Linked DNA regions of Xenopus tropicalis. The protein of the gene in region 4 interacts with the protein of the main gene of each other region in a biochemical or structural test. Links are inferred from orthologs where the notes say so. Each region holds a gene or a part of one and is shown on either strand. Other genes may lie near its edges.

What was found. The genes of interacting proteins can lie anywhere in the genome.
Region 1: the proteins of tjp1 (region 4) and cldn1 form a complex in vitro, tested with the Homo sapiens proteins (2 studies listed by BioGRID and IntAct, with this or other methods). The link is inferred for Xenopus tropicalis from reciprocal best matches to the Homo sapiens genes TJP1 and CLDN1.
Region 2: the proteins of tjp1 (region 4) and cldn2 form a complex in vitro, tested with the Homo sapiens proteins (2 studies listed by BioGRID and IntAct, with this or other methods). The link is inferred for Xenopus tropicalis from reciprocal best matches to the Homo sapiens genes TJP1 and CLDN2.
Region 3: the proteins of tjp1 (region 4) and cldn7 form a complex in vitro, tested with the Homo sapiens proteins (2 studies listed by BioGRID and IntAct, with this or other methods). The link is inferred for Xenopus tropicalis from reciprocal best matches to the Homo sapiens genes TJP1 and CLDN7.
Region 5: the proteins of tjp1 (region 4) and jam2 form a complex in vitro, tested with the Homo sapiens proteins (2 studies listed by BioGRID and IntAct, with this or other methods). The link is inferred for Xenopus tropicalis from reciprocal best matches to the Homo sapiens genes TJP1 and JAM2.

Annotation. Positions count from the first base shown.
Region 1 is NC_030681.2:104,248,575-104,252,780, reverse strand, and holds the start of cldn1 (claudin-1), read left to right. Parts: upstream 1-1,406; 5' UTR 1,407-1,557; coding exon 1,558-1,780; intron 1,781-4,206.
Region 2 is NC_030684.2:37,315,428-37,319,230, forward strand, and holds cldn2 (claudin-2), read left to right. Parts: upstream 1-1,437; 5' UTR 1,438-1,528; intron 1,529-1,916; 5' UTR 1,917-2,233; coding exon 2,234-2,929; 3' UTR 2,930-3,303; downstream 3,304-3,803. UniProt on the Homo sapiens protein: Forms paracellular channels: polymerizes in tight junction strands with cation- and water-selective channels through the strands, conveying epithelial permeability in a process known as paracellular tight junction permeability.
Region 3 is NC_030679.2:153,399,185-153,403,444, forward strand, and holds the start of cldn7 (claudin 7 precursor), read right to left. Parts: upstream 2,801-4,260; 5' UTR 2,616-2,800; coding exon 2,393-2,615; intron 1-2,392. UniProt on the Homo sapiens protein: Plays a major role in tight junction-specific obliteration of the intercellular space.
Region 4 is NC_030679.2:97,716,247-97,719,746, reverse strand, and holds part of tjp1 (tight junction protein ZO-1), read left to right. Parts: intron 1-538; coding exon 539-644; intron 645-1,357; coding exon 1,358-1,508; intron 1,509-2,950; coding exon 2,951-3,059; intron 3,060-3,191; coding exon 3,192-3,411; intron 3,412-3,500. UniProt on the Homo sapiens protein: TJP1, TJP2, and TJP3 are closely related scaffolding proteins that link tight junction (TJ) transmembrane proteins such as claudins, junctional adhesion molecules, and occludin to the actin cytoskeleton.
Region 5 is NC_030678.2:18,672,716-18,676,651, reverse strand, and holds the start of jam2 (junctional adhesion molecule B), read left to right. Parts: upstream 1-1,136; 5' UTR 1,137-1,159; coding exon 1,160-1,211; intron 1,212-3,936. UniProt on the Homo sapiens protein: Junctional adhesion protein that mediates heterotypic cell-cell interactions with its cognate receptor JAM3 to regulate different cellular processes. Plays a role in homing and mobilization of hematopoietic stem and progenitor cells within the bone marrow.

The DNA.
Region 1 (4,206 bases), on a different chromosome or scaffold from region 4:
CAAGTTGAGATCCCCCTGTGGTGATGAGTAGAAGGTGATTCAATAAGCTATAGTGATAAGCTGGTAGGAGGCAGAACTAGGGGTAGACAGAAGGGAGGGGTACATGCCTAAACCCCCCCCCCCCCCCCCCCCCCGTTCTGTGGGCCTTAGGCACCTGCCTCATCTGCCTTTCCCTGGTTCTGGCCCTGGTTGCCATGATTTTTACTCACAATGCAGTGTTTTCGCAGTTTATTATGTTTAGCAGCATTCCAGTTTCGAATTTTAGCAGCTATCTGGTTGCTAGAATATAAATTACCTTAGGAACCAGGCAGTGGTTTGATTGAACTACCCCTCTAACTTGCACCTACCTCAACTTGCTCATGATGCACCAATAGATACAAATTAGTGGGCATTTTTGGAAATTATGTTCCCTGGATTTGTGTTTGAATGTATCACCTGCGTATGAAGTTAATAAAAGCATTAGCATTTAATGCATTTAATACAAGGAAATTGCAACTATTGCTGCAACCTTGCTGATAGTAATTTCAGGAGCATATATGGAAGCAGGTACCTTTCTGGATTGCACAAATACATTTACAAACTGGGGATCAGGGCACAATGTGCAAAAAAGCAGGAACAAGCAGCCATGTTTTTGCATTGTGCACACCGCCTTTGTCATGATCGCCCAAATGGAACACAAGGACCTATGTTTTCCCAATGAATACAGTGCTGCATTTATAAGGGGTGGGCTAGGGGAAGCTTGTAGGTTTTCCTTAACCCACCCCCTAACTTGCTTGTCATCACATATGATATAAAGAGCGCCAGGGCTGCCTTGCACCCACCAAGCACTGCCCCCAGATACAAGTCCTGGGTAACAGTTAAGTATTTTGTAATTAACAATTTTCTCTTGTGTTTATAAAAAAAGTCTTAGCCTGAAATATTTGTTATGATGTTTTGCCTAACATGTCTTTTATTAGCCCAAACACACAGGGCTAAAACCTCTGACACTGACCGCAACTGAGTTACAAAGTCTGTAATGAGACAGTTTGTCAGCAACCATTACTCTTAATGTGTCTGATTCATTTATTTTTCCACTGCATTGTTTAAAGCTCTTGCAAATTCTATGGCTGTTCTATAGCTTGGTGAAAAACACCTGGCTTAAAAAATATGTATTATGGATGAGGACAAAACAATGACTACATTGCTGGAATCAGCTTTGCTTTTAACTCCCCTGCAGTCAAAGCAAGCAGAAAAAAACATTTGTGGTGTCACAAATGTGGTGGGAGGTGGTGATGAGTCTTTCATTGCAAATGATTATCCTGCTGAGCCAATGCAATTCTAAGGACTGCCACTGGGAGGAGAACTCAAGTCACTTTAAATAAGGCAGATAAGCAGAAGTTTTCAGTTAGAAGATAGACCTGGACGACCACTGATGAACTCTTCCTTCTCCACTTTTTTCTGACTTGAGAAATTTTCAGTCTACATTTACTTAAAGGTCCTCCTTAGACTACAGAAGAGCGGACAAGCTCCTGCTTCAGAGGGTGGCCAAGTGGTAACTTATTTTATCCACTCAAAAGGATGGCCAACGCAGGCTTGCAACTTTTAGGATTCGCCTTAGCTTGTCTGGGCTGGATTGGGTTTATAGTATGTATTGCAATCCCTCAATGGAAAATGTCATCGTTTGCTGGGGATGCCATTATCACAGCACAGATCACCTATGAAGGACTCTGGATGTCTTGTGTAATGCAGAGCACAGGGCAGATGCAGTGCAAAACCTATGACTCGCTGCTGAAGCTGGACAGTAAGTAGATTTTTTTTTAATTTCATTTGATAATATATATTTCTATGGCTATCTTAAATGCTCAAAAGTATGTGTGCATATATATATATATATATATAAGCATGTAGAACACAGAGCACTCATTGGACTTAAATTATGTGCACAAATTGAACGCAGATAATTTTAGGTACATGAGTGCTCTACATGCTGATATTATTTTTGTGGCAGCACCTGGGCCGCAGCACCTGGGCGTGTGCACTGTCTTTCAAAATCTCTCCCTCTCTCTCTTTCTCTCTCTCTCTTTCTCTCTCTCTATCTCTCTCTCTATATATATATACAGGTAGGGGACCCGTTATACAGAATGCTTGGGACCTGGGGTTTTCTGGATAAGGGGTCTGTCTGTAATTCAGATCTTCTACATTAAGTCTACTGAAAAAATTATTTAAACAGTAATTAACCCCAATAGGATTGTTTTGGCTCCAACTAGGATTCATCATATCTTAGTTGGGATCTAGTACAAGGTTCTGTTCTATTATTACAGAGAAAAAGGGAAACCATTTATAAAAATGGGAATTATTTGATTAAAGTGGAGTCTATGGGAGATGGCCTTTCCGTAATTCAGATATTTCTGGATAATGGGTTTCCGGATAAGGGGTCCAATACCTGTATATCAATTTATACATGCTCTGATATGTTTGGTCCAGGCCTTTGTCCTTTTACATTCCCTTCTTTGTTGATAGTCCACTACTTTACATTTGAAACAAGAATTTTTGATGACAACAGAGAAACTGAGCTATAAAAATTGATGGATAGAGTATGTGTAATTATACTCTAAGTGCCACTACACCTTTGACAACGAATCATCCAGTTATTACCAATGAAATGACAAGTTTATGTTGGTGTTATAAAATACCAGCTTCAATTTAAATATTATTATAATACATTGGCATGGTGTTTATCTTAACTTGCTGGTAATATGACAAAATAATTGTAGCCTGCTGAAAATCATGAATTCTAAGTCAATAAGTAAAACACATTTGTTTCGAGGTAGAAATGCTATTAGGCTTGGCAAGATCACCTTCTATTGATGGCTCATTGATAAGCAGCCTGCTTATTTCATTGCGATTTATTGGATTTATTGGGTTTATTGGGTTGACCACAGTTAGGTACCTGGTTTTATATGAAATAGTCTAAACGTGACATGACAGCCATCTGGCTATGGAAAACATTGAACATAAGTATATTAGGTTGTCCAAAGAGAAGGTACCTGGTGTTATATGAAATAGTCCATAACACTAACCATGAAATGAAGAATGCCTCAAGTTACAGAACTCCTGAAGATTTGTTTTGTGATGTATTAAAAAACAGGAGTGCTGAACCTTCTAGTGAATCATAACTCCCAGTATCCTCTAATAGCATGCAAACAATAGAGGATGTTGGGAGTTGCTATTTCCAGCAGCTGCATGGTATCATATTTTGTTTTAATACTGCCAGAGTACATGCTTCATTTGTAGTGTCCATGAACAGCTTGAGGCCATGTTCAGGTTTTATGAACATTTTTCAGAACAGAATGACCCTGTGTGGCAGTTGTAAATGGGTTAAAAGGATCCACTTGAGAACACAAGAGAATTATATATGAAAATAGCTGCCTCCTTGCTGGACACCCTAGTATTGTTTATAAAGGGCTAGAGTTAGGTATTTTTCTTTGCACAAAGGATAACATCCTTCCTAAGGGAATGTTGTTTTTGGATAACTCAAAGACTGGGAGCCCATATGGGGGGCAGGATTCTTTTTCTTATGTTTCTTAGATGTTGATAGTTCACCAGTTATTCTAAGTTCACAAAGCAGAGAACAAGCAGCCCCTCCTGCAAGATTCCTTCATAATACAATCAGTTAAGGTGTGTCCTGCTTATAATACACTGATACCCCTGTGTAGCATCCAAAAATATTTGATCATTCTTTATACAATAATCTTTCATTTATGTTTTTTATTATTATTTAATATGATTTTATCAGTATATGTTGGACAATACAGATAACAATTAGTTAGTAAAACTAAGACACACAACCATAAAGGAGACTTGTAACCTCAAAATCAACTGAGGACATCTACACTTAATCCCAAACACTGGTCCTTTTAATACTAATAAGAAAGCAACTTTCTCTGACAATGCCAATGTGCCAAATGCATTTGGCCTGGATGAGAACAAATGTTTATGCCTGGTTAATGTTTCAGGAATATGTAGCTGTTGTAAGTAAGCAGAATAGCCTGACAGTTAAAGCAAAAGTCTTAATTATTAAAAGACATTGCTTAAGGAACTGAACAGTCCTTGTCTCTTGCAAATCTTCCTGCCCTGGTAGAAGCACAGGACTCTGCAATGGATCTAAGGTGCTATCATTAGTCTGCATTAGGGCTGACATTGCATATTATTTTATTATTATTCTTT
Region 2 (3,803 bases), on a different chromosome or scaffold from region 4:
CACCTGTGAAAAAAGGGGAGGAATTTGTGATTGAGGTCTCTGTGCAGAAAATAGGAACCAGGAAGTGAGGGGGTACAGCTGGGAAGGCTGATGAAAATGGCTAAAGTTGTGAGTTACATTTCTATAATTGTCCTGCATCAATTTGCCATAATAGTGGGTGATTTACCATCCAAGAGCATTGTCATTTCTGTTTTAAGAAGAATGTTTATTGCATACAGTATATTTTGTACAGGTATGGGATCCCTTATTCAGAAACCCCTTATCCAGAAAGTTCCAAATTATGGAAAGGCCATGTCCCATAGACTCTATTATAAGCAAATAATTCAAATTTTTAAAAAAGATTTCCTTTTTCTCTGTAATAATAAAACAGTACTTTGTACTTGATCCCAACTAAGGTATAATTAATCCTTATTGGGGGCAAACCAATCCTATTGGGTTTATTCAATATTTAAATGATTTTTAACAGACAAGTTATGGAGATCCAAATTACGGAAAGATCCCTTATCCGGAAAACCCCAGGTCCCGAGCATTCTGGATAACAGGTCCCATACCTGTAAAATGCCCCTGTTTTGTGGAAACCCTGCTGCCCTGCTGGCAAATACATATTTGAATTTACATTGGGTGCTTCTGCTCTTACTTTGAAAAAAGGTAAAACCACGTTTGCAATTTGTGTGAATGCCCATAACCTCTACTTGTGGCTCTGACAGCTGCAGACCTCTCTCCATAATAATCTGTGACGCATTGTTTTTTTGGACTTATTCAGTTTTCCACTCTTTGAGGCTCAATTAGTTGATTAATCATAGTCCCAAGAATATCTAGGACAGCAAATACATGTTCATCCCAAATCTCATTCTTATTGTCCTTCAAGATGGGCTCCCAGTAATGCCTAGGAGAGGAAATAGATATTCTCCCAATTTCTATCCCTACCTGGCCTTCGTTTGCAAGATTGCAAACCCTGCAATGGGTTCCATTCCCCCCCAGACTGGGAACCACTGCTTTAATATGAAGCGGTGGCCTCTAGTGGCATAGAAATGCTTGCTTAACTTACCCACCCAGTAACTTTGCTTGTAATACTATTTCATGCGTGGGAGTACCAGAGATTTAAATGCAAACATAAAGCTTTAATTGCTAAGTATAATGTTCTATAAACACAACCTTTTAGAACTTTATAATAACTTCTTTAATTTCGTTTCACATGTCTACAGTATATGCTGGAGCAACAGTTAATTACTTTGTGGATTTAACATTCTGTTGCAAGCACAAGCAATACAGAGGGAAGGGGATAGATTAAAGTGTCCAAATTCCAGGGGGAATTATTTTTAATACGGGTGACGTGCAGCGCTTATACTGCTTTGCTCTCTATGTGCAAAGTAAATGAAAGTTGCAATAGAGCACCCAGGATATGGATTGATGGAATAAAATAGTAGATGGTGCAATGAAGCAATCTGATGCTGTTTATCTCCAAGATCAGGGGAGATAATACTCACCGGCAATCAGTTGGTTTATAAAGATGTCACAAAAGCAGAAGGTACGTGGGGTTGTTAAATAGCTACAAACATTATCATAAGGGGCACTAACAGACACGTAGTACAGTGTATTGACTTACATAACATGTCACAAGCGTGACAAGTTAGTCAGAAGCTGTCATACAGTGTGGAGGTGTTATAATGGCAATAAAGAATGATAAACTGCATGGGGATAGTAAAACAGAGGCGGTAGGTTACACAACATAGGTAGGTTTCTCTGACAAATGATCAAATGGCTGAGGATGGGGGAATGTTTGATTTCTATTTTTCAGAGATAACGCGGTCAAGGAGCATTTGGCTAATCAATTTGTTAGTGAATATTTAACCCCCCCCAACCTCCACCCTCACCCCTTCCGTCTCTGTTTTTTACCTTTTTTTATTTGATTGTAGGTCTATAAAGAGGACTCCACAGCCTATTATCCGATCCAGAGATTGTAAGATCAGAGGCTGTAGACAGCTGCCACATAGAAAGTGTGAGAAGAGGTGGCAGTGCCATTCCTGGCACTGTGAAAACTCCAGGAGAAAGTGCAGAGAGTGGAAAAGCCAAAACAGATGTTCCGTTTAAACTGGCTATATGTGTGCACACAATGACCGTGAGCTAAAGGCTACAGAAAAAGAAATACTCTGCTAACACAGAGATACACCACTACTCTGGAGACTGTCTTAATCAAAAACAAGTAGTCTTTTATACAAGAAGAGACAGCAAAATGACGTCTGTAGGCCTTCAGATGATGGGTTACTTCATGGGCATCCTGGGACTAGTTGGCTCTGTTGTTGCCACACTTATGCCCAACTGGAAGGTAAGCTCATATGTTGGTGCCAGCATTGTAACAGCTGTGGGCTTCTCCAAAGGGCTGTGGATGGAGTGTGCTTCCTATAGCACAGGCATCACACAATGTGACATTTACAACTCCATGCTGGGGTTACCATCTGATACCCAAGCTGCTCAAGCTCTCATGATCACATCTTGTGTACTGTCTTCACTAGCCGGCCTCTTCTCAATCTTTGGTATGAAATGCACCATCTTCTCTCAGGACTCCCCTGGGAAGGCTAAAATAGCCATTGTTGGAGGGGTTTTATTTATCCTAGGAGGTGTCCTATGCTTGGTGCCAATTTGCTGGAACCTGCATTCTATTCTAAGAGACTTCTACAACCCTATTATTGCTGATTCAATGAGGTATGAAATTGGACCTGCTCTCTATCTGGGCATTATGTCATCAATTGTCTCAGTACTTGGAGGCTCCATTCTCTGTGCTTCATGCCCACCCAGAGAAGAGGGTCATGAGTTCTACAGCAGGTACCAGAGGAAACCTCTAGTAGCCAACAAGGGAGCAAATGCTACTGTCTTAACAGAAACCTCTAAGCGTGAACAAAGTGGGTACAATCTCACAGGTTATGTATAGGAGGTTAGTAAAATAAAAAGGAATTGTCCTTGCTCACACCGGCATCTTCTTTCCAGGAACATGTATGCAATGTGAACAGTGCAAGAACTTAAATTATACTTAAACTAAACTACACTGGACTACTGTGTGTTGAAGAAACATTTGTTCAGAGAAACATTTGTGAAGAATGCACTGATAATGCAAAGGCAATACAAGTACAGGCTCTGAGGCTGAAGGCAGGGGGCGGTCGGTGGTTGAAATGAAATTTTACCTGACTGACAGTTATCAGGGATTTAAGTAATTTATACTTAAGGTGGCCATAGACCAGCAGATCCGCTCGCTTGGCCAAGCGAGCGGATCTTCCCCCGATATCCCCACCTACGGGTGGGCGATATCGGGGAGCATTATGTGGGCAGCAATGGGGCAGTCGGATCGGGGACCGCATCAACGAGCCGATGCGGTCCCCGATCCGACCGGATTTTCTAACCTGGCCGATCGAGATCTGGCCTATTTCAGGCCAGATATCGGTCGGCCAGGCCGCTCTGCCCTGCCCATACACGGGCCGATTAGCTGCCAAATCGGTCCAAGGGACCGATATCGGCAGCTATAGTCGGCCCGTGTATGGCCACCTTTAGGGTCCTGTCTTTATTATTGTTTAGCAAGGGCAAAACTAGGTTGGGCCCGTAACTAACATATTGTTTCCATTTGCAGATTACATGTTAATAAGAGAGGGATTTTTGTAATATATAGTTCCATATATAGAGAGATTTTTAGGTTCTGTGTATATATGTGACATGCAGCAATTGCCTGTTAAGTGTTATTTGGGACTTAATCATTTCTGACCTATAACATGGATGATGGAATTCTATCTGCAGGCTGTCAGTGTCAAACTCCA
Region 3 (4,260 bases), about 56 Mb from region 4:
AAGGTCCCTATCACATTCCCATCAGCCCCTGCCCCAGTGAGCTTACAATCTAAGGTCCCTATCCAATCAGCCCCTGCCCCAGTGAGCTTACAATCTAAGGTCCCTATCCCATTCCCATCAGCCCCTGCCCCAGTGAGCTTACAATCTAAGGTCCCTATCACATTCCCATCAGCCCCTGCCCCAGTGAGCTTACAATCTAAGGTCCCTATCCAATCAGCCCCTGCCCCAGTGAGCTTACAATCTAAGGTCCCTATCCCATTCCCATCAGTCCCTGCCCCAGTGAGCTTACAATCTAAGGTCCCTATCCCATTCCCATCAGCCCCTGCCCCAGTGAGCTTACAATCTAAGGCCCCTGTCATCATGTGGGCCAATACCACCTTAGGGAGAATACCCATACTATTTTCCCCCAGACAGCGCCCATATCAGAAGCAGTGAGCCGGGCACTGCCAGGCAGCGGTACCAGTGTGCCACCCATATATAGATGCACCGTGCCCCACCCACAAGCCCAGCACCCCCCATGGGACAGCAGAGTCAGCAACACAATGACACCCCCAGGGAAACATTCAGTAGCTGCAACCTGACTCCCTGCATTACAGCCTGTTACCTGCCGCTGGCTGCACTGGATTGGATACCTGCCAAGACATGAATCACCCCGACTGGTTGGCTGGGAAACTCCGCCCCCATTTCAAAGGAGGAATCCGTTGGGGCCCGTGTGGCAGCAGGTGCAGTGTAACCGCCGAGCAGCACAGGTTCCCATTAGCCTTTAGACTGTAAGCTCTTGTGGCAAGAGAATCCCCTGCCTTTACCCCCATGTACTATATTATTGCAAGGAATGACATACATGGCATAGGGGCATCAGTGGGCACAGGGGCATCAGGGCAGCCCCATACAGCAGGGGTATAAGGCCGGGCCAGAACCAGAACATACAATAAACAACCCGGGGCCACTGCCTTAATTGACTCACAAACTTACCCCACGGGGGGCAAACAGCTTACAGCAGGACCATATAGGCCGATCTATTGCCCCCCATACCCTAATGCACCGACGCCATCATGAGATGCGCCCAGGGCGTGGCATTGGCCTCAGCCCAGCAGGGGGCGCTGGACACATTCTCAGTGAAAGTGAAAGAAAGGAATGGGACTAACCCCCCATCACACACAGTAAGGATACAGATTAACAGCCCTAGCTCCTAGAATACCAAGGGCCACCCCCAAAATCTTACTTGAATCTCTGCTATATGGGGGCAGGGGGGGGGGGGCAGAGGGAAGGTGAATGGCTACCGGGAAGGAAGGGGAAAGGTGAGTAGGGAGGACAGAAGGGGGAGGAGCCATTGGAAGGCAATAAAGGAGGGGCAGGTGAGTTTCACAGAAACCAGGTGAGGGGGTGGGATTGGGAAAGGTAAAGTGGGGAGGAGATCTGCAGTTTCCTACCCCCCCCCCCCCCATTCAGCCCGTTTCCCCCTGTAGTGCCCCCCCCATTCACTTCCCAGGAATAACCCTACAGAATGATGCTACACCTGGCCCTAACCCCCGGCCGCTATACATGCTGTACACACCCCAGCCATTCAGCCTCCTATATAAACTGGCAGAACTCCGATAACCCAGTAACCCCACTATCTGGGCCCAGTCTAATCAGCAGCAGATAAGAGATACCAGTGCAGCCTGCAGCACCAACCCCAGATAAGCCTCTGCCATAACGGGCTGCTACTGGGGCAGATACACGGCTGGGGCTACTGTTACACAGATAAACCACTGCCATAACGGCCCATAAGCGACAGAATCGCTGCTACTGGGGCAGATACACGGCTGGGGCTACTGTTACACAGATAAACCACTGCCATAACGGCCCATAAGCGACAGAATCGCTGCTACAGGGGCAGATACACGGCTGGGGCTACTGTTCCACAGATAAACCACTGCCATAACGGGCAGAATCGCTGCTACTGGGGCTACTGTTGCACAGATAAACAGCCACTGGGGCAATAAACACAGAACCATTACATCACAAAGAAAGGGGGCACTAGAGAGGGCAATAATAAACTTAGGGCACATTAACACAATAGCCCCCACCCCTCCAAGTAACTAGGGGCAACTAACACGTCATTAAGACCAGTAATGTGTAAGTAAATACCCCACCTGGGGGCAACAAAGGCTGAAAATAAAGCCCTTCACCTTACGGCGGGGCACAAGGGTCAATATGCAGTTACCCCATACAGGGAAGGGAAACTACCCCACCCCACTTGATTGCCCCCACAAGGAAGCGCCAGAGCCGAGCCCGGCGGGCGGGTGGGGCAGTTACAGAGTCCAGTCGGAACCGGTCAGACCGGTTTGGGGCAGGGGAAAACAAGTGGGGGAGGGGCAGTTCCCACACAGGATGCCCCAGGGGCACTTACCGTCCAGCTGCAGTAGGGAGTCATAGACTTTGCACTGAATCTGCCCCGTACTCTGGGTGGCGCAAGACATCCACAGCCCTTGGTAAATCGCCACCGCCGTGATGATCTGGTCCCCGGCATAGGAGGACATCTTCCACTGCGGCATAATAGTCGCTGCGATTAGTGCGATCCATCCCAGCAGCGCCAGTACGAAGCCCAGCAGCTGCAGCCCGGAGTTGGCCATCCCTGGGGGGTTGGAGTGTGGGGGTAGGTAGGAGTCCTTTGCCCCTGCACTAGGGGGGGTAAGTACAAGCTCAGGGACACACAGGGGCCCCTACTCCTCGCTGCTGCTGGGGGGGGGGGGGGGGCTCCGAACGATCGAGTAGTTTATCCCCGGCCGATAGAATCCGATCCGTCTCCTTCCTCCGCTCTCTCACCGATACCTGAGCCAGGTGCGACACCTGCGCCTTCTATATGAGCCCGGCCCCGGCCCCGCCCAGCTACCGTGACGTCACCACCTCCGGGCACCTGAGAGAGTGAAACGGTGACTCAACTGAAACCGGTGACATCAGAGGCTCTTTCTCTCTCTATGGAACAATAATACCCCCCATAGAGTTTATATCTGCCCCCATACACTGTATCTGCCCCCCATACAGTATATCTGCCCCCATACACTGTATCTGCCCCCCATACAGTATATCTGCCCCCATACACTGTATCTGCCCCCCATACAGTATATCTACCCCCATACAGTATATCTGCCCCCCATACAGTATATCTACCCCCATACAGTATATCTACCCCCATACACTGTATCTGCCCCCATACAGGGTATCTACCCCCCATACAAGGTATCTACCCCCCCATACAAGGTATCTACCCCCCATAAAGCATATCTACCCCCCCATAGAGCATATCTACCCCCCATACAGTGTATCTACCCCCCATACAGTATATCTACCCTCCATACAGTATATCTACCCCCCATACAGTGTATCTACCCCCCATACAGTATATCTACCCCCCATACAAGGTATCTACCCCCCATAAAGCATATCTACCCCCCATAGAGCATATCTACCCCCCATACAGTGTATCTACCCCCATACAGTGTATCTACCCCCCATACAAGGTATCTACCCCCCATAAAGCATATCTACCCCCCCATAGAGCATATCTACCCCCCTTACAGTCTATCTATGACCCTACCGTCTATTTACCCCCATACAGTCTGTCTACTCCCTGTGTAACTTTATAGTAATATCCCCTGATACACTGTATCTACTCCCTGTGTAACTTTATAGTAATATCCCCTGATACGCTGTATCTACTCCCTGTGTAACTTTATAGTAATATCCCCTGATACACTGTATCTACTCTGTGTAACTTTATAGTAATATCCCCTGATACACTGTATCTACTCCCTGTGTAACTTTATAGTAATATCCCCTGATACGCTGTATCTACTCCCTGTGTAACTTTATAGTAATATCCCTGATACACTGTATCTACTCCCTGTGTAACTTTATAGTAATATCCCCTGATACACTGTATCTACTCCCTGTGTAACTTTATAGTAATATCCCTTGATACGCTGTATCTACTCCCTGTGTAACTTTATAGTAATATCCCTGATACGCTGTATCTACTCCCTGTGTAACTTTATAGTAATATCCCCTGATACGCTGTATCTACTCCCTGTGTAACTTTATAGTAATATCCCCTGATACACTGTATCTACTCCCTGTGTAACTTTATAGTAATATCCCCTGATACGCTGTATCTACTCCCTGTGTAACTTTATAGTAATATCCCCTGATACGCTGTATCTACTCCCTGTGTAACTTTATAGTAATATCCCCTGATACACTGTATCTACTCCCTGTGTA
Region 4 (3,500 bases):
ATCTACTAAAAAACATTTACATTTTTAAAAAAAGCATTGAAAAGGATTGTTTTGCTATCCGTATGGATTTATGCAGTTAGCTACCTTCAAGTAGAAGGCACTGTTTTATAACTACAGGAAACTGTTAAAAAATAAAATAAATGTAAAAATAAACGGGAAACGTCATTCCAAGCTTTCTGGATAATAGAGCTATCCTACGACTGTATATCCATATAATACACTAAAGCCCTGAATAATCTGTAAAATGAATACAGTACTAAGTCAGAGCCACTCTGCCAACTTAGTACACCATGTGTGAAGTAGTGAGCTTGAATCAGGCAAATAGGCTTTGGTGTGTGGTATAAAGGAGTTTTTATCCAATGTGCTGATTTGTTTTAGAGAAGCTCTTAGATGCCTCCACACATAATAGGTCTGGGTCCTGCTAGTGGTCCCTTTGGAGGATCTGGTGAGTTCCATAATGGTGGGATTGGGGGGTTAATTATTATAAAATGTTTGCAATGCAAGCCTATTTTTTTTTATATTTTAATTTCTTTAACAGAGCCAAAACCTGTATATGCCCAGCCAGGACAACCAGATGTGGATTTGCCAGTCAGCCCATCTGATGGACCTTTCCCTAATTCTACACATGAAGATGGCATGCTTCGGTAATGCACACTTTCTGTTAACAACATTTAAAAATGCTTAAAATTGTTATTAAAACTGTTTTAAGGAATCCTTCCTTTCTTCTAAGAATAGGTGCTTTGTAGCCACCTTCTTTCTTTAGGGTGAAGACACACAGAGCTACTAGTAGCAACTGCTTGTCATGGCTACTAAAATAGACAATGCTGATTGTTTATTTATAACAATAGGAGAGGCAATTCTCAGTATTGTCTTTGGCAGAGCATTTTCTGGTGTTAAGTAACCTTAGCAAGAAGATGCTACTAAGTAGCTCTGTGTGTCCTCACCCTGACTGACCAAGGAGAATTGCCACTGTATAAGCTAGTGGCCTCTTTCATCGAAATACTCAACATACTCCCTTGCATTTCAATCAGCACTAATTTATCAACAGTAAGAGGGCCAAGAGGTGCCCTTCCAAGTTAAATGAACTGTAGTGCTACCCCAAATGTAAACCTTAAAAAAAATTTTTTTCAAAGAAGAATTCTATAATCCACAGGGACATTTGAGAGAAAATAAATTTGTTTTATAGATTGTTTAATTATTGTTTAGTGTTATTTACACAGTGTGTATTGAATATATGCTGTAGCATGTATGAATTTTTTTAGTACGTCTTTTCTAAAAATTATACAGATAGTTCAGATATTATAAACTTTGCTTAGATTTATTTGTTCCATGCTAAATTTACTTCTGTTTTTTGGAGGCCAAGCATGAAACTGGTGAAGTTCAGGAAAGGAGACAGTGTAGGCCTTCGTTTGGCTGGTGGTAATGATGTGGGAATTTTTGTTGCTGGTGTATTAGACGACAGTCCTGCCGCAAAAGAAGGTTTGGAGGAAGGGGACCAGATACTCAGAGTAAGTAGCAGTAAAATTTTATAATGCAAGATTTTTTCAGCTCTACTGTTATGCTATGAGCATTAATAAAAGTACATAATAGAAATACAGGTGGAAAAAGTAGAAATGTTGCTTATGGATATCACACTATTTCCTGAAGTTTACACTCACAAGGTTAACTTACCCTCAATGGAACATGAAAATCCCAACTACTACATTTACATTTTCATGTTGTCATAAACTTTGAAATAGATTAGTATAAATGATTGTTTTAAACAAAGAATGCTGTCATGGGAAAACATGTTTTTTTTCCCCAAAACACATCAGTTAATAGATCTTCTCCAGCAGAATCCTGCGTTGAAATCTGTTTTTCAAAAACACTGATTTTTTTTATATTTAATTTTGAAATTTCACATGGGGCTAGCCATATTCTTCATTTCTTAGAGTGCCTCAACCATGTGACCGTGCTCTAAAAAACTTCAGTCACACTTTACTGCTGAGCTGCAAGTTGAAGTGATATCACCCCCCTCCCAGCAGCTGATCAGCAGAACAATGGAAAGCTAGCAAGATAGCAGCTCCCAGTAGATATCAGAATAGCGCTCCATGGTAGAAAATACAAGTCCAGCTTGTGACTTCTCCAGTTACATGAGAGTAGGAGAAACAATAGGTTAGCTGAAAGCAGTTCTAATGTGTAGCACTGGCTCTTTCTGAAAGCTCAGACTCAGGCACAATGCACTGCCTACACACCAATATCACAACTAAAAAAATACATTAGTTGGTTCAAGAATAACATTTTCAATGGTAGAGTGAATTATTTGCTATGTAAACAGTGTAATTTAGAAATAAAAATTATACCATAAAAAACATTACCGTATCCCTTTAAGTGTGTCATTCCACCTACTATTATTTAGCAGGGATTTTAGTTATTCAATGTTAAATAGACAAAGAACAAGGAAGTGCTTAATTTCACTTTTTTAATCTGTAATATTCCCCTCAGGAAGCTTTATTAAAAAACAAATGTGTTTGTATTCATGTGTTTGCGAGCTGCAATACTCCTTGATATAAAATCTCACACTATGCTTTTTTTCTGCTAGACGGAAAAACATGGCACCCATTTGCCACTGAATAACAGGCACATTTTGGCCCAAATACAGCTGTGCATAAATGGCCGAAATCCTCCTTGTGTTCACAGTGACGCATGGATGCCATTAATAGCATGGGGCAGAATTGGCTGGCATTAATTTTGTTTCCACTTCCAGAGAAATGCCTAATGTGACAATTAGCTACAGGGTGTATAGTGTTCTTATAGCTTGAATTAAGCCAAGTGAACTATGTTTTGCTTTATTATCCCATAATTTCTGATGACCCTTGTAAATAAAAGTGCTAAGTGGGATTGGTTGTTTTTGTGCAACCTTCAGTTCTAAATAATCCAAACTAAATGCAAATATTAAATTTAATTTTAGGTTAACAATGTGGATTTCACCAATATAATAAGGGAAGAAGCGGTACTGTTCCTTCTTGATCTGCCCAAAGGAGAAGAGGTTACCATTCTTGCTCAGAAAAAGAAAGATGGTAAGTTTTCTTGCCATAAGTTGGCCATGAATATGAAAATATTTGTGTTTATCATTAATTAAACAATTGTATATTTTGCAAGCATTACCTCTTCATGCTGAAATTTAGAATGTACCATATTTGTGTTTCCAGTGTATCGCCGCATTGTTGAGTCAGATGTTGGGGATTCATTTTATATAAGAACTCACTTTGAATATGAGAAAGAGTCACCATACGGGCTAAGTTTCAACAAAGGAGAGGTCTTTCGAGTTGTGGATACTCTTTACAATGGCAAACTAGGGTCATGGTTGGCCATTAGAATTGGTAGAAATCACAAGGAGGTGGAAAGAGGGATAATCCCCAACAAGAATAGGTAAGTGGTTACCAGTTTTACAGGTTTCTTTTGTATTTTTGTGTACTTTAACTGTATGGATAGTAGAGCTGTTTGGTTATGCTTGTGTG
Region 5 (3,936 bases), on a different chromosome or scaffold from region 4:
ATCAAGACAGGGCGCTATCTGCAAGGAGTTGTATGTTCTCCCTGTGTCTACAGGATCAGACTAAGCCGGTGGGACACTGAGAAAAAAACCCGGTGGGCCCCACTGACCCAGACCCCATCACCACCGGGAAGCATCATATCTCCCCTGCTGCTCTCCCTCCCCAGATTGAGCCTAGGTAAATATGAGATATATGCGCTGGGGAGGGGTGGATGGCAGTGGTCGGGTGTCAAGGGCCCCTAAGGGTGTTAGGGGGCCCCAGTGGGCCCCACACACCCCAGTTCCACCCTGTGTGCAGTGTCGGTCGAGATCCGATCCCCCCAGGGTGCTCCCATGATTCGCCATCTCCCTCCCCCGACCCGACGCAGGTAAGTTTCTTTTAGGAGAGCTCGGGGGTGGGGGTCGGAGGGTGTTGGGGGCCTCTGCGGGGGGGGGGGGGCAGTGAAGGCGGCAGGGGCCATTTGGGGGTGCAGGGTCTCCTGAGGCAGAAGTCCCGGTGGGCCCTGCACCCCCTAGTCTGACCCTGCCTGTGTGTTTTTGTGGGTATCTTTATAAATACAGGCCGGTAATTTATCAGTAGGGGCCTCAGATTGTAATCTTCACTGGGGCAGTGAGTGATGTATAATCTCTGTAAAAGCTCTGTATAAATAAATGATACTAAAGATTAGGATTTGGAGCATCCCCAATTCTTAGAACAAATATCTGAAAGCATTTTTATCACAAAGCATTTGTTGGTTTCCGCAGCCACACTCCATTATTTGTTACAGTACAAAACACAAGCTTTCAAAAGCGACGCAGGGTATGCTGGGATTTGTAGTCCAACAGACAGGTAGGACCAATAACAACGCTAAAGTATATTCTGTACATAGTGTTTTTATGCAGCGGAATGAGCAGTCTGATAGAAGAATGAAGAAGAATGGAAGTGGTTTATAAATAAATGTACTTTCACACTTCAGCCAGCGCTGAGCAGGGAGAGATTACAGGGAGGGGATGCAGAGCAAGCGGTGGTTGGAGGGCGCTATTAGCGGCGCTGCGGGTAGGGGGCGCCAGAGCGGCACATTCCTGTGCATCCCGCACTTCCCCGTTACAAGGTGCCTGCCCCTCTCACTGTTGGCTGTGCCGCTCGGTCTGCGCTTATTCTCTCATCTAACGGACTCGGAGGATGCGGTCTCCAGCCTGTGCGATCTTTCTCGGCTACTTTGCGGCGCTTTGCTGTAAGTTTCTGGGATCTTTACTGAACTCCGCTGCTTTGGGCGCTTTCTGTCGGCACTTTGTGCTCTGTGTGTGTCGGGGGGTTGTGAAATCCGGGCTGGGAGCCTTTGTCCTGCCTGCCTGCCCGCCTGCCCGCCTGCCCACAGGGACCCTCACTCCCATACTTTCTGCATCCCCCCTCATGGGCTACATGTTTCCCTGCTCTGCCTGCATGCCGGGGATTGGCTGCTGCTACTGCCAAATTCTCTATTAGGCTATTAGTGCCGGTCTGACTTAGAATATTATATACTGCTGGCTCCATGATCCGCTATTACATCATTATTGCTCTGTGTGACTTTATTTATTATATTTCTGCCCCCAGGATTCTGTATGACATCATTAGTGTTCTGTGTGACTTAATTTATTATATTTATGACTTTGGGATTCTGTATGACATCATTTCTGCTCTATGTGACTTAATGTATTATATTTCTGACTTCAGGATTCTGTATGACATCATTAGTGTTCTTTGTGACTGAATTTATTATATTTCTGACTTCAGGATTCTGTGTGACATCTTTAGTGCTCTGTGTGACTTTATTATAATTCTGCCCCCAGGATTCTGTATGACATCATTAGTGCTCTGTGTGACTTTATTTATTATATTTCTGACTTAGGGATTCTGTGTGACATCATTTCTGCTCTGTGTGACTTAATGTGTTATATTTATGACTTCAAGATTCTGTATGACATCATTAGTGTTCTGTGTGACTTAATTTATTATATTTCTGACTTCATGATTCTGTATGACATCATTAGTGTTCTGTGTGACTTAATTTATTATATTTCTGACTTCATGATTCTGTATGACATCATTAGTGTTCTGTGTGACTGAATTTATTATATTTATGACTTCAGGATTCTGTGTGACATCATTAGTGCTCTGTGTGACTTTATTGTATTTTTGACTTCAGGATTCTGTATGACATCATCAGAGCCCTGTCTAACCTAGAATATTATTTTGCCAACTTTTATAAGAAGCCTGGCACATTTTAACCATATTAAGTCCACCAGCCTACTCCCAGCATGCACAGTGGTTATTAAATATGGGCATCAACTTAAAATGGACTTGATATTCTGGTACAGACTGTTCATACTTTTTCAAGATTCCAGTATTTACTCTTAGGGTGAAGACACAGAGCTACTAGTAGCAGCTACAGAAATAGACAATGCTGACTATGTATTGATAATTGAGGCATATCTCAGTATTGTCTATGGCAGGGTATTTTCTGGCATTTAGTAGCCGTGAAATGTTGCTGCTACTAAGTAGCTCTGTGTGCCTTCACCCTTAGAGTTTAAATGAGCAGTGGCACAAAGGGTGGACTGCATTACCTGTGCAATGTAGCGGAGCATTGATAAGGGCGTAGATATGTTCTTACCTTTGGGGGAACCTTGGGTATTGTATTTGCAGCATGTGCTTCCCTGTGTGACTGGGGTATATACAGGTATCGGACCCCTTATCCGGAAACCCATTATCCAGAAAGTTCCGAATTACGTAAAGGCCATCTCCCATAGACTTCATTTTAATCAAATAATTCACATTTTCAAAAGTGATTTCCTTTAATAATTTATCTGTAATAATAAAACAGTACCTTGTACTTGATCCCAACTATATATATATATATATATATATATATATATATATATATAGATATAATTAATCCTTATTGGAGGCAAAACAATCCTATGGGGTTTATTCAATATTTAAATGATTTTTAGCAGACTTAAGCAGTGGAGATCCAAATTACGGAAAGACCCCTTATCCGGAAAACCCAGGTCCCGAGCATTATGTATAATGGGTCCCACACCTGTACTTAGTGCCAGTTTGGACTGTGACCCAAAGGGAAGTCTTTTTGGACACAAGTGGTTTATGCCAAACTGATTTACAGCAAATGGCTTTAAAGGGAGCTATCCGTTGTTATACTGCTGTTTAGGTTTATTTTATCCTAATATTTTAGGGGGGTAACAAGTGTATCTGCCATACCCAGCGGGGGCTCTCAGGCTCCAATCATTTTTCCAGGATGGTAGTTCAGCCACCTGGGGGATACAGTTCTGCAACAGCTGGGGGGCCAACAGGTTAGATATGAGTCTGGGTTACACCCTGCATGCCTCTGTATCCCTGCAAATAAACTGGATTATTTGATGGTAAAAATAAAGGAGATGGTTAGCAGATCACATGGTTTAAATGACTTTGCTGTTTCCAGCCATTAGGGAAATAGATGCACGTGTGCGACGGGGAGATTAGGGGACGCGCTGCTGCTGCTGCTGCTAAATCCACTCTCGGAAAGTTTCTTTGCTAGTGACCCGTTTCTCTCTCTCACACATCTATATTCAGGTTGCTCTGAGTGACCTATTTCTCAGTTACATATATGTACAGGTTGCTCAGCTCTCACACACGTGTGTACAGGCTGCCTGTGTCTCATTCACATGTATGGGCAGATTGCGAGTGGCCGGCGTCACATTCACATACATGTGCAGATTGTGCAAGATAGAATGTGCATCTTGCTCCATTTTTAGCATTTTTAAACTGTCTTTCCATTGCTCCTGCAATTTTTAGCAACTTTGCAATATACATCAATGAAAAATATGCAGCCTTTTTATGATTTTTAATGTAATAATATGGTTTGGAACAGTTCCCTAAGCCCCGCCCCCTGTTCCCCTGCTGATCTGGCTGACTACTTTTCAGTC